Linked DNA regions of Macaca mulatta. The protein of the gene in region 2 interacts with the protein of the main gene of each other region in a pairwise test. Links are inferred from orthologs where the notes say so. Each region holds a gene or a part of one and is shown on either strand. Other genes may lie near its edges.

The links.
Region 1: the proteins of TLE5 (region 2) and PRR3 interact in binary tests that used the Homo sapiens proteins (3 or more experiments, as listed by UniProt). The two-hybrid records come from large-scale screens. The link is inferred for Macaca mulatta from reciprocal best matches to the Homo sapiens genes TLE5 and PRR3.

Annotation. Positions count from the first base shown.
Region 1 is NC_133409.1:152,487,664-152,492,370, forward strand, and holds the start of PRR3 (proline-rich protein 3), read right to left. Parts: upstream 3,071-4,707; 5' UTR 3,021-3,070; coding exon 2,915-3,020; intron 2,190-2,914; coding exon of another isoform or gene 2,127-2,189; intron 1-2,126. Other genes in the region: GNL1 (guanine nucleotide-binding protein-like 1), read left to right, coding at 4,181-4,253, 4,669-4,707.
Region 2 is NC_133424.1:3,855,171-3,859,772, forward strand, and holds the start of TLE5 (TLE family member 5), read right to left. Parts: upstream 2,824-4,602; 5' UTR 2,627-2,823; coding exon 2,399-2,626; intron 2,213-2,398; exon of another isoform or gene 1,897-2,212; coding exon of another isoform or gene 1,870-1,896; intron 1,626-1,869; exon of another isoform or gene 1,319-1,625; intron 974-1,318; coding exon 876-973; intron 1-875. UniProt on the Homo sapiens protein: Transcriptional corepressor. Acts as a dominant repressor towards other family members. Inhibits NF-kappa-B-regulated gene expression. May be required for the initiation and maintenance of the differentiated state.

The sequences.
Region 1 (4,707 bases), on a different chromosome or scaffold from region 2:
AATCTCGACTCACTGCAACCTCTGCCTCCCAGGTTCAAGCAATTCTCATGCCTGAGCTACCTGAGTAGTTGGGATTACAGGTATGCACCACCATGCCCAGCTAGTTTTTCTATTTTTAGTAGAGATGGGGTTTCGCCATTTTGGCCAGGCTGTTCTCGAACTCCTGACCTCAAGTGATCCACCTGCCTTGGCCTCCAGTGTGCTGGGATTACAGGTGTGAAGCACCACGCCTGGCCCCTGAATTTGACTTTAGACACCTCAGATAAGCAGAATCATACACTATGTCTTTACTGAACATAAAGTCCTCAAAGTTCATCCATGTTGTAGTATGTGACAGCATTTTCTTCCTTTTAAGGCTGAATAATAATCCATTGTATGTACACGCCACATTTTGTTTATTCTTCCATCAGTGGACATGTGGGTTGCTTCCACCTCTTTGTTATTGTGAATACTGCTGCTATGAACATGAGTCTGCAAATATGTCAAGACCCTGCTTTCCATTTTTTTTTTTTTTTTTGCTATATACCTGGAAGCAGGAGTTCTGGGGTAGTTCTATTTTTAATTTTTTTTGTCATACATACATATTTTTAATTGCTTAAGAGGAATCTCTTCATATTGTTTTATATAGTAGTTTCACCATTTTATAATCCCAGCAGCAGTACACAAGAGTTCTAATTTCAAAGTGGTATATTTTTATCTTGCATTTACTTGACGATTAATGATATTGAGTACTTGTTGATTTAGACTTTTAGTTCATTTAGAGCTCCATTTTAATAAGGTGTCCTTTTTTTTTTTTTTTTGGTCGATTTTTCAAATGGCTTGTCTGGAAGAATCCTTTATATATTATAGATAAAGGATCTTTATTGGTTATATTTGTTGCAAATATCTTCTATTGTATAGCTTCCTGTTAATTTCTTAATGGCGTTATTTGGCAAGTTTATATTTTCTTTTCTTTCTTTTTTTTTTTTTTTTGAGACAGTCTCACTCTGTCACCCAGGCTAGAGTGCAGTGGTGCGATCTCGGCTAACTGCAACGTCCGCCTCCAGGTTCAAGCGATTCTCCTGCCTCAGCCTCCTGAGTAGCTGGGATTACAGGCGCACACCACCACATCCGGCTAATTTTTGTATTTTTTAGTAGAGATAGGGGTTTCACTATGTTGGTCAGTCCAGTCTTGAACTCCTGACCTTGTGATTCGCCCGCCTCAGCCTCCCAAAGTGCTGGGATTACAGGTGTGAGCCACTGCACCTGGCCGCAAATTTATATTTTCTAATGGAGTTCAATTTATCAATCTTTCCTTTATGGTTAGTGTGTATACCTACATTTCTTATCTGTTTAAGAACTCTTAGCTACTCTTAGAAAATACATTTACTTTCTAGAATAATTATTCTCTTACCTTTTATACTTAGATCTACAGTCCATTATACAATATGATTATGACTACAAGGTGAAATTCCATTTTTTAACATGAATATCCAATTGATCCAATATCATTTATTGAAAAGACCAACTTTCCAGTTCCATCTTCATCATAAATGAAGTGTCCACACATGTATGGGCCTGTTATTGGACTCTTCGGGACATAAGTCCTGTTGACTTATGTGTATCATTGTGTCCAAACCGCATCGTTGTAACTACTGTAGCTTTATAGTAAGTCTTTTTTCCTTCTTGTTTTTATAGACAGGATCTCACTATGTTGCCCAAGTGGCCTCAAAAACTCCTGGGCTCAAAGGATCCTCCTACCTCAGCCTCCTGAGTAGCTGGGACCACAGGCATATGCCACCATGCCCAGCTTACAAATCTTGATATTCATAGTACGCCCTCCCACTTCAAGATTGTTTTGACAGTCTCTCACCTTGATATTTTGCATTTCCCTATAATACTGTGTATTTCCACAAAAACATTATGGGTGTTCTGACTTGGAATGCATGAAGTCTATACATCAATTTGGGAAGAAGTGACATTTTTACAACATTGAGTTTTTCAGTCAGCAAATATACAACTTCTCTCCATTCATTTAGGGATGGAATCCCTGACCTTTTGATTTTTAAGTCCTTCCTGGGTTTTATCCCCTCCCTTGCCGTCTTATCCGCGACCTAATACAAGGATCAGGGCCCCTTCCTCCTCACCTGACTTAGGGTCGCCAGGTTTTCCATTGGCCATGGGGGGAGGGCCCAGAAGGCTGGGTGGTCCTAAGAGCAGACATGAAAATATGGTCATCAGAATGGATTAAAGGACTGATGATTCTGTTCTTAGGCGTTTTTCTTGTATTACTCATTTCTTAATTCAACCAGTAAAGTCAGGTATATTTTCAGCAGTCTTAGGAGTTCTCACCCCATCTATCTGCTCTTTTTTCTGCAAAGCTGTTTCAGGGTTTGCAAAAAGTAGATATTCAATCAAAGGCGATAATGCAGGAAAAGATACAACTTTTTCTTTTCCTCACCGTACCGTCGCTATCCAAAACAACCTAAGTGTCTCCAGACATAAACCAATCCCTCACCTTAACTGCTGGCCAGTCAGTTCTCTTCTCCTTTCACTCGGCCAGAGGACTAGTTTAGAGAAAGCGGCACCTGTACCTTTTCAATCAAAATCCGGATACAAACTGTCAACCCAGTCATCGCAATCTGCAACATCTCTACTGCCCCTTTCCCCTACTGTTCTGCGGCTGCGCAAAAGAGCTCTTTACTCTCTCCACCCCCGCGTTCCAGAAAGGTTTGGGGCCGTATTGAGGTTGACGGTTCCAGTAAGAGAACTCCTGGTTCAAGGCTCCATTTGGGACAGCCCTGCTGCCATCCCTACCCAGCGCGTGCGCCCTTCCTCCTTCCGTTAGAGCCCCTTCCTTCGCACCTTATTAGCCCCTAGCCCTTCGCCCGGACGGGCTTGACAGGCATGTGCACATCCCTCCCTGACCCCTCACCGATGGGACTCCCATCCTCCTCATCTCCAGTCTCTTCCCGCTCGGGCAGTGGGGGTTGCTGCTGTGTCGGTGGCTGGTGCTGATTCTGCTTCTTTCGTTTCGGCATCGTGGCTGCGGCAATGGCTGCAGCGGGATTTGGAGGGTAGTGAGGAAGGGGCACGCGGGGATTCTGTTTCCGCTTCCGGGGGGTCGGTGGGCAGCAATGCCCAAGCTCCCACCATTCCACTTCCGGAAGGTTGCGGAGAACATCTGTGGCGGCCGCATTCTGGAGTAAACTGCCTCTCTCCGTCTCTGCCAGGCATGGCGGCAACCTCACACCTTCCTTTTGCTGCGTTTCTATAAATGCTTTGAAAAAATTCCGCTCTTCTTCCCTCGCTGGAAAACACCACAACCAGCTCCTCAGAGTGTGTCACAGAGTCAACAGGCTCTCGGGCCAGAAGGCCTGAGAAGAGGACTGTCGCACCGTAAGATCGCCACATCCGGTCCTCGGTTACTATGGTAACAGCTGCAGGCACAACTTTGTGCCCTTTGACCTCCCTCCAAAAGCCCTTGTCCCGCCTGGGTTTCGCTTCTCGCCCGCTTTTGCACTTCTGATCTGTAAACCTGCTCCTTATCATCGTTCCCACAAGGAATTTGGGTCCCAGCAGGTCGGCAGCCAGGACTCTTCAGACCGCCGCCCTCCCCTAAAGACCTCTGACCGTGCCCCCGGTGTAGCCCAGCAACCTGGCTTCATTCCCGGGACGCACCGTCTCGGCTTTCCACTAAGGTCAAGCCTGGGGGTTGGGAGTGTAGCCTCAGCGTGTCCACTCCTCCTCTCCCCTAGGTAATAGGCCCCGCCCTCCGCTCCGCCGCCCCCTCCAGGTGAGTGGTAGCTTCTCCCGGGAGCGCAAGGTAGTGATGACACGCGCTCCCCCCTCCTCCGAACGCGAGTTGGTAGCGTCCGTGACGAAGTTAGCCTGGTCCTCCCACGCGCGCCTCCTTCCTCGCCGCCGGGGTGCTCTCTCGGTGCTACTGGCTCTCACGTGCCAGTAGCCCACCCCGCATCATCCTTTCGCCTCGCTCCTGGAGGGAAGTGACTGTGTATCTCCCCTGTCCGCCTTCCATCGCCGCCGCGGCGGCAATTCGGTCGGGCCCGCCCGCTGACGTCACCTGCTAGCTCCGCCTCCTCTAGGGTCCCGGGCCCCTGCGGCGGGGACTGCCCCGGGGGGCAGTCAGTTGAGGCGGCAGGAGCTCGGCGGAGGGCGGGCCAGGTGACTGGTCCGGGCCATGCCGAGGAAGAAGCCCTTTAGCGTGAAGCAGAAGAAGAAGCAGTTGCAGGACAAACGGGAGCGGAAGAGAGGTCAGTGCGGGAGCTGGAGGAGGAGGCGGGGCTCGGGCTTCCGCACAGCTGGAAGGAGGGGTGTGCCCGCTGCACCTCTGGGGGTCGTGGGAGGGTGTCGTGGGACCGCGCCAACCCTCGCGGCCTATCGCGGAGGGGATCTCCCACCCCACCCCCCCACATCTGGAAGGGGTGGGGAAGGATGGAGAGTTGGGGGAGGGGAATCCCTCCAGCTCGCACGGGGCGCCGTCCCTACTGCTCCCTGGAGGAGTGATTCCCCCCCACGCACATCCGGGAGGGTCCCGAATAGGGTGGTTGGGAGGACAGAGCGTCGGAAGAAGTTGAGTGGGATGAAGAAGAGTCAGACCGGTGGGGGAGAGGGTCTTATGGCCCCTGAGAGCTGGCCAGCACTGGCGTCACCGGCCCCTCCCCGCAGGGCTTCAAGATGGGCTGCGCTCCAGTTCCAACAGCCGCA
Region 2 (4,602 bases):
TCCCCGAGGAAATAACCTCTCTGGGCTTAAGTTTCTTCTTCTTTATTTTTTTTTGTTTTTTTTCGGACACCGAGTCTCTCTCTGTTACCCAGGCTGGAGTGTGGTGGTTCGATCTCTGCTCACTGCAACCTCCGCCTCCCGGGTTCAAGCAAGTTTCCTGCCTCAGCCACCCAAGTAGCTGGGATTACAGGCGTCTGCCACCACACCCGGCTAATTTTGTATTTTTAGTAGAGACGGGGTTTCGCCATGTTGGCCAGGCTGGTCTCGAACTCCTGACCTCAAGTGATCCACCCGCCTCAGCCTCCCAAAGTGCTGGGGTTACAGGCGTGAGCCACCGGTGGCACCCGGCCTGGGATTAAATTTCTTTAAGTGTAAAAGGACTAAATAGTTCCTTCCCCTTAGATACCACAGCATGGCAAGCTCTTCAGAAACGCCAGGAGATTTCTGAAAGAAGCACCTGGGAGAATCTGACTGATGCTGGGAACCCTTTCTCCAAAACTGGGCAAAGAGAGATGACCAGGCTGCAAAATGTTTGTTTTGGGGGTTGGGGGGACGGCGAGTCTGTGCCCTAACTCCAATTGTCTTTTATCCAAGGGGGGACTTGGGGGGATTGGGTAGGAGGGAGGGGCTCTGAAGCCACACAGCTGGGTCTTTGGGCAAATTATTTAACTTATTTTGTGCCTCAGTTTTGTCCTCCACAGAATGCAGCTGTTTAAAAAAAATGAATTCCCTATTTGTCAAGTATTAGGTCAGAGTCTAGCATACATTATTTTCCCAATCTCCCCTCCAGGCCTCAGCCTTGCCATCTGCGCAGAAAAAATGGGGTGGGGGGCTCACCTTCTCGGGACGCAGGGACCCTCGGCCCCCCAGCTCACCTGTGATACTGAGCTTGCAGTAGCTGAAATTCGTCTTTGATGCGGTCGCAGGAGTCCGAGGTGGTGAATTTGAGTTGCTGGGGTAGGTGCGAAGAGCCCTGTGGGGAAGGGGCGGCCCGGGTCAGGCCCTGGCTTGGGCTGGACCCCCCTCGAGGGCCAGCCGGGAGGGAGCGGCCGCGCAGCTGCGGCGCCCCCCCTCCTGCCCCACTTCCTGGGCCCGTGTTTACGGCCCCTGGCGCGGCCCCCACCCGCGCTTCCTGCCCCCCGCCTCTCCCGGGGGAAGCCGAGGGGGTGGGTGCGCCCGGAGCCGCCCCGACCCCCGCCACCTCCAAGCAGTGGGGGTGCGTTTTAAGGCCTGCCCTAGATGGGGGGCAGGGTGCGCCCTCTACCGCCCCTCCAAAGCGCCGGGAGGGAGTGCACATCCGAGGGGGGTGGATACGCACCCTAGGGAGCCCCCTCCCCAAGTTGGGGGGCAGCGAGTCCTCCCAGCAAAGCCCTCTTGGGGGAGGGGTCTCTCGGCGCCCGAAATCTTCCCGGGGGGCCCACCCCAGATTCCCAGCGCCCTTCCTCGGGGACGCGCTCTTCCGGGAGGGGTGCGCCTCGGATCGCCCCCCCACCACAGGCCCCCAAAGGATCCCCGCGCTAGAGGTGCCTGGCGGGGCTCCCGGAGCGCCCCAGGCCCGAGGCCAAGGCCGTCCGAGGCCCTGCCTGTCCCGGCGAGGGGGGGGGCGCCAAGCCGGGAGCTGGGACGGGGGGGCTCGGGGCCCGGAAGCTGGGGTGGATCGGGAACTGGGGGGTGTCCGGGGGCCGGCGGCAGGAGGGGGGTCGCGCCGGGCTTGGAGCTGGAGAGGGAAGACAGGGCCGGGGAGTTGGGGGGGGTGCCGGGCCGGAGGCACCGGGCCTGGGGGTGGGGGGCGCGGGGCCGGGAGCCGGGGGTGGGGAGCGCAGGGCCGGGATCCGGGGTGGGGGCGCCTGCCGGACGGACCCCGCTTACCGAATGCCTGCTTTGTGGAAACATCATGTCAGTCGCGGCAGGGGGCGCGGGCTGCGCCCCGGCTGTGCGCCCCGGCTCGGGCTGCTGGGGGCGCCGGGCGGCCGCGCCTTTGTCCCGGCGCCGATCGGCAGCTCCCGGGGCCGCCGCCGCCTCCCGCGCCCGGCCTCGCCCGCTTCCTGCGCCCCCTCCCCGCGCGCCCGGCCCCGGCGCGCCCCGGGCCCCGCTTCCTGCGCGCCCGGCGCCCCTCCCCGCCCCTCCCCGCCGCCCGCCTCCCCGCTCCCCGGCCCCACCGCTATTGTCTAATGGCGGCGACGCCGGCAGTGGCCGCGGCTCGGCTGATGCTGAGGCTCCGGCTCCACCTGCCGCCGCCGCCCGTGCCCCGTGCGCGCCGCCGAGGGGGGGGAGGCGCGCGCCCGGGGAGGCCTGCGGATCCCCACCCCGGCCCGCCTCCCCAGGGCCCGCCCGCCGCGGTGACCTTGGGCCCGGCCCGCCCCCGCCCCGGGCCGCGGCCCCCGCCACCCCCCCCAACCCGGCAGCAGGCCGGGCCTCGGTTTCCCCATCTGTCAAAGAAAAGGGACCCGGCTGCCCGCGTCGAAGCCGCCAGCCCTGCCGTGGCACGACCTGGACGCGTGCCACGGACGTGCTCTGTGACCTTGGCTCTGGCTGGGCGGTGGTTCTCGCTGAGCCTCAGTTTCCTTTTCTGCAGAAAGGCAGCGGTAATGCCGCCTTTCTCAGGGAAGCCATTCTTGCGACACATTTATAGAACGCCTACTGTGTGCCAGGGCCTGCTGCTCCAGGGCCCTGTGGTGGGGGCGGGGGTGGGGGGTCCCTGCTCTGGTGGTGGTGCCTGGAGACAGACAGAGACAAATTAACAAGCTGAATTCCCAGCAGGTCAGATGGTGGGGACCGTTCTGCAGAAAAACCAGCCGGGAGGATGGCAGGGTAGGAAGATGCAAAGTTAAACAGGTGGCAGGGAGGATCAGAGAGAGCTTCCTCCGCCCCTAAAACGACCCAAAGAAGGAGAGAGAACAGGGGGATGGGGTACAGAGGTACTCAGAGGCAGGACCAGCAGGTGTAAAGGCCCTGGGGCAGGACTGTGCCTGGCATCAGGGTGCCAGGGCGGAGGTCAGGAAGGCCGGAGGGAGGCAGGGCCTGGGGCTTCATGCATTTGCCCGGGCCCCCCCCCCTCCTCAGCAGGGCTTGTGCTTGGGTTAATATTTAGTGTTGCATTTTGAGATTCCTAATCATTTTTGAACAAGGGGCCTTTCAGTTTTCTTTTGCACTGGGCCCTGCTAACTCTGTAGCTGGTGAAGCAGGCCAGTCCAGCAAGGACTTGTGGGCCATGGGGAGGACTTGGGTTTTTGGGTGAGTGAAGTGGGAGCCCTGGAAGGCTGTGGGAGGAGGAGGGATGGGACCTGGTGGTTTGTTTTTTGTTTGCTTTTGAGACGGAGTTTCACTCTTGTTGCCCAGGCTGGAATGCAATGGCACGATCCCAGCTCGCTACATCCTCTGCCTCCCGTGTTCAAGTGATTCTCCTGCCTCAGCCTCCCGAGTAGCTGGGATTACAGGCACGTGCTACCACGCCCGGCTAATTTTGTATTTTTAGTAGAGACGAGAGTTCTCCATGTCGGTCAGGCTGGTCTTGAACTCCCGACCTCAGGTGATCCACCTGCCTCGGCCTCCCAAAGTGCTGGGATTACAGGCGTGAGCCACCTTGCCCAGCTGTTTGTTTTTGAGATGGAGTCTCACTCTGTTGCCCAGGCTGGAATGCAGTGACGTGATCTTGCCTCACTGCAACCTCCGCCTCCCGGGTTCAAGCGATTCTCCTGCCTCAACCTCTCGTGTAGCTGGGATTACAGGTGCGTACCACCATGCCTGGCTAATTTTTGTATGTTTAGTAGAGATGGGTTTCACTATATTGGCCAGGCTGATCTTGAAATCCTGACGTTGGGTGATCCTCCCGCCTCTACCTCCCAGAGTGCAGGGATTACAGGTGTGAGCCACCGCACCTGGCTTTAGACTTGTGCTTTTGCTCTGAGTGAGGTGGGAATCCTGGAGAGCCGTGGGAAGAGGAGGAATGGGACCTGGTGGCGGTTATGAAAGTATCCCTCTTTCTGCCATTCAGAGAACAGGCCCCAAAGAGGCCATTGAAATAAGGCTGTTCCGCCGGGCGCGGTGGCTCACGCCTGTAATCCCAGCACTTTGGGAGGCCGAGGCGGGCGGATCACAAGGTCAGGAGATCGAGACCACGGTGAAACCCCGTCTCTACTAAAAATACAAAAAATTAGCCAGGCGCGGTTGTGGGCGCCTGTAGTCCCAGCTACTCAGGAGGCTGAGGCAGGAGAATGGCGTGAACCCGGGAGGCGGAGCTTGCAATGAGCCGAGATCGCGCCACTGCACTCCAGCCTGGGCGACAGAGCGAGACTCCGTCTCAAAAAAAAAAAAAAAAAAAAAAGAAATAAGGCTGTTCCTTTAAGGTCCTCCTTTGGCAGGTGCTGAGCACACAGTCTTTTCATCATCGTCATCCACTAAGCAGCCTGCTCCCTTGGATGAATGCAACTGATTTGGGCCTTGGGTGTTCCCATCTGTAAAATGGACCCGGAACCCCAGCCTCCTTACCTTGGCAAGTAAGGGTGAGAGCCCTCAGTGTTCAAGATTAATAATCTTTAAAGCAGTGTTTTAATATTTTTATTAATTTTTTTTTTTTTTGAGACAGCGTCTCACTTTGTGGCC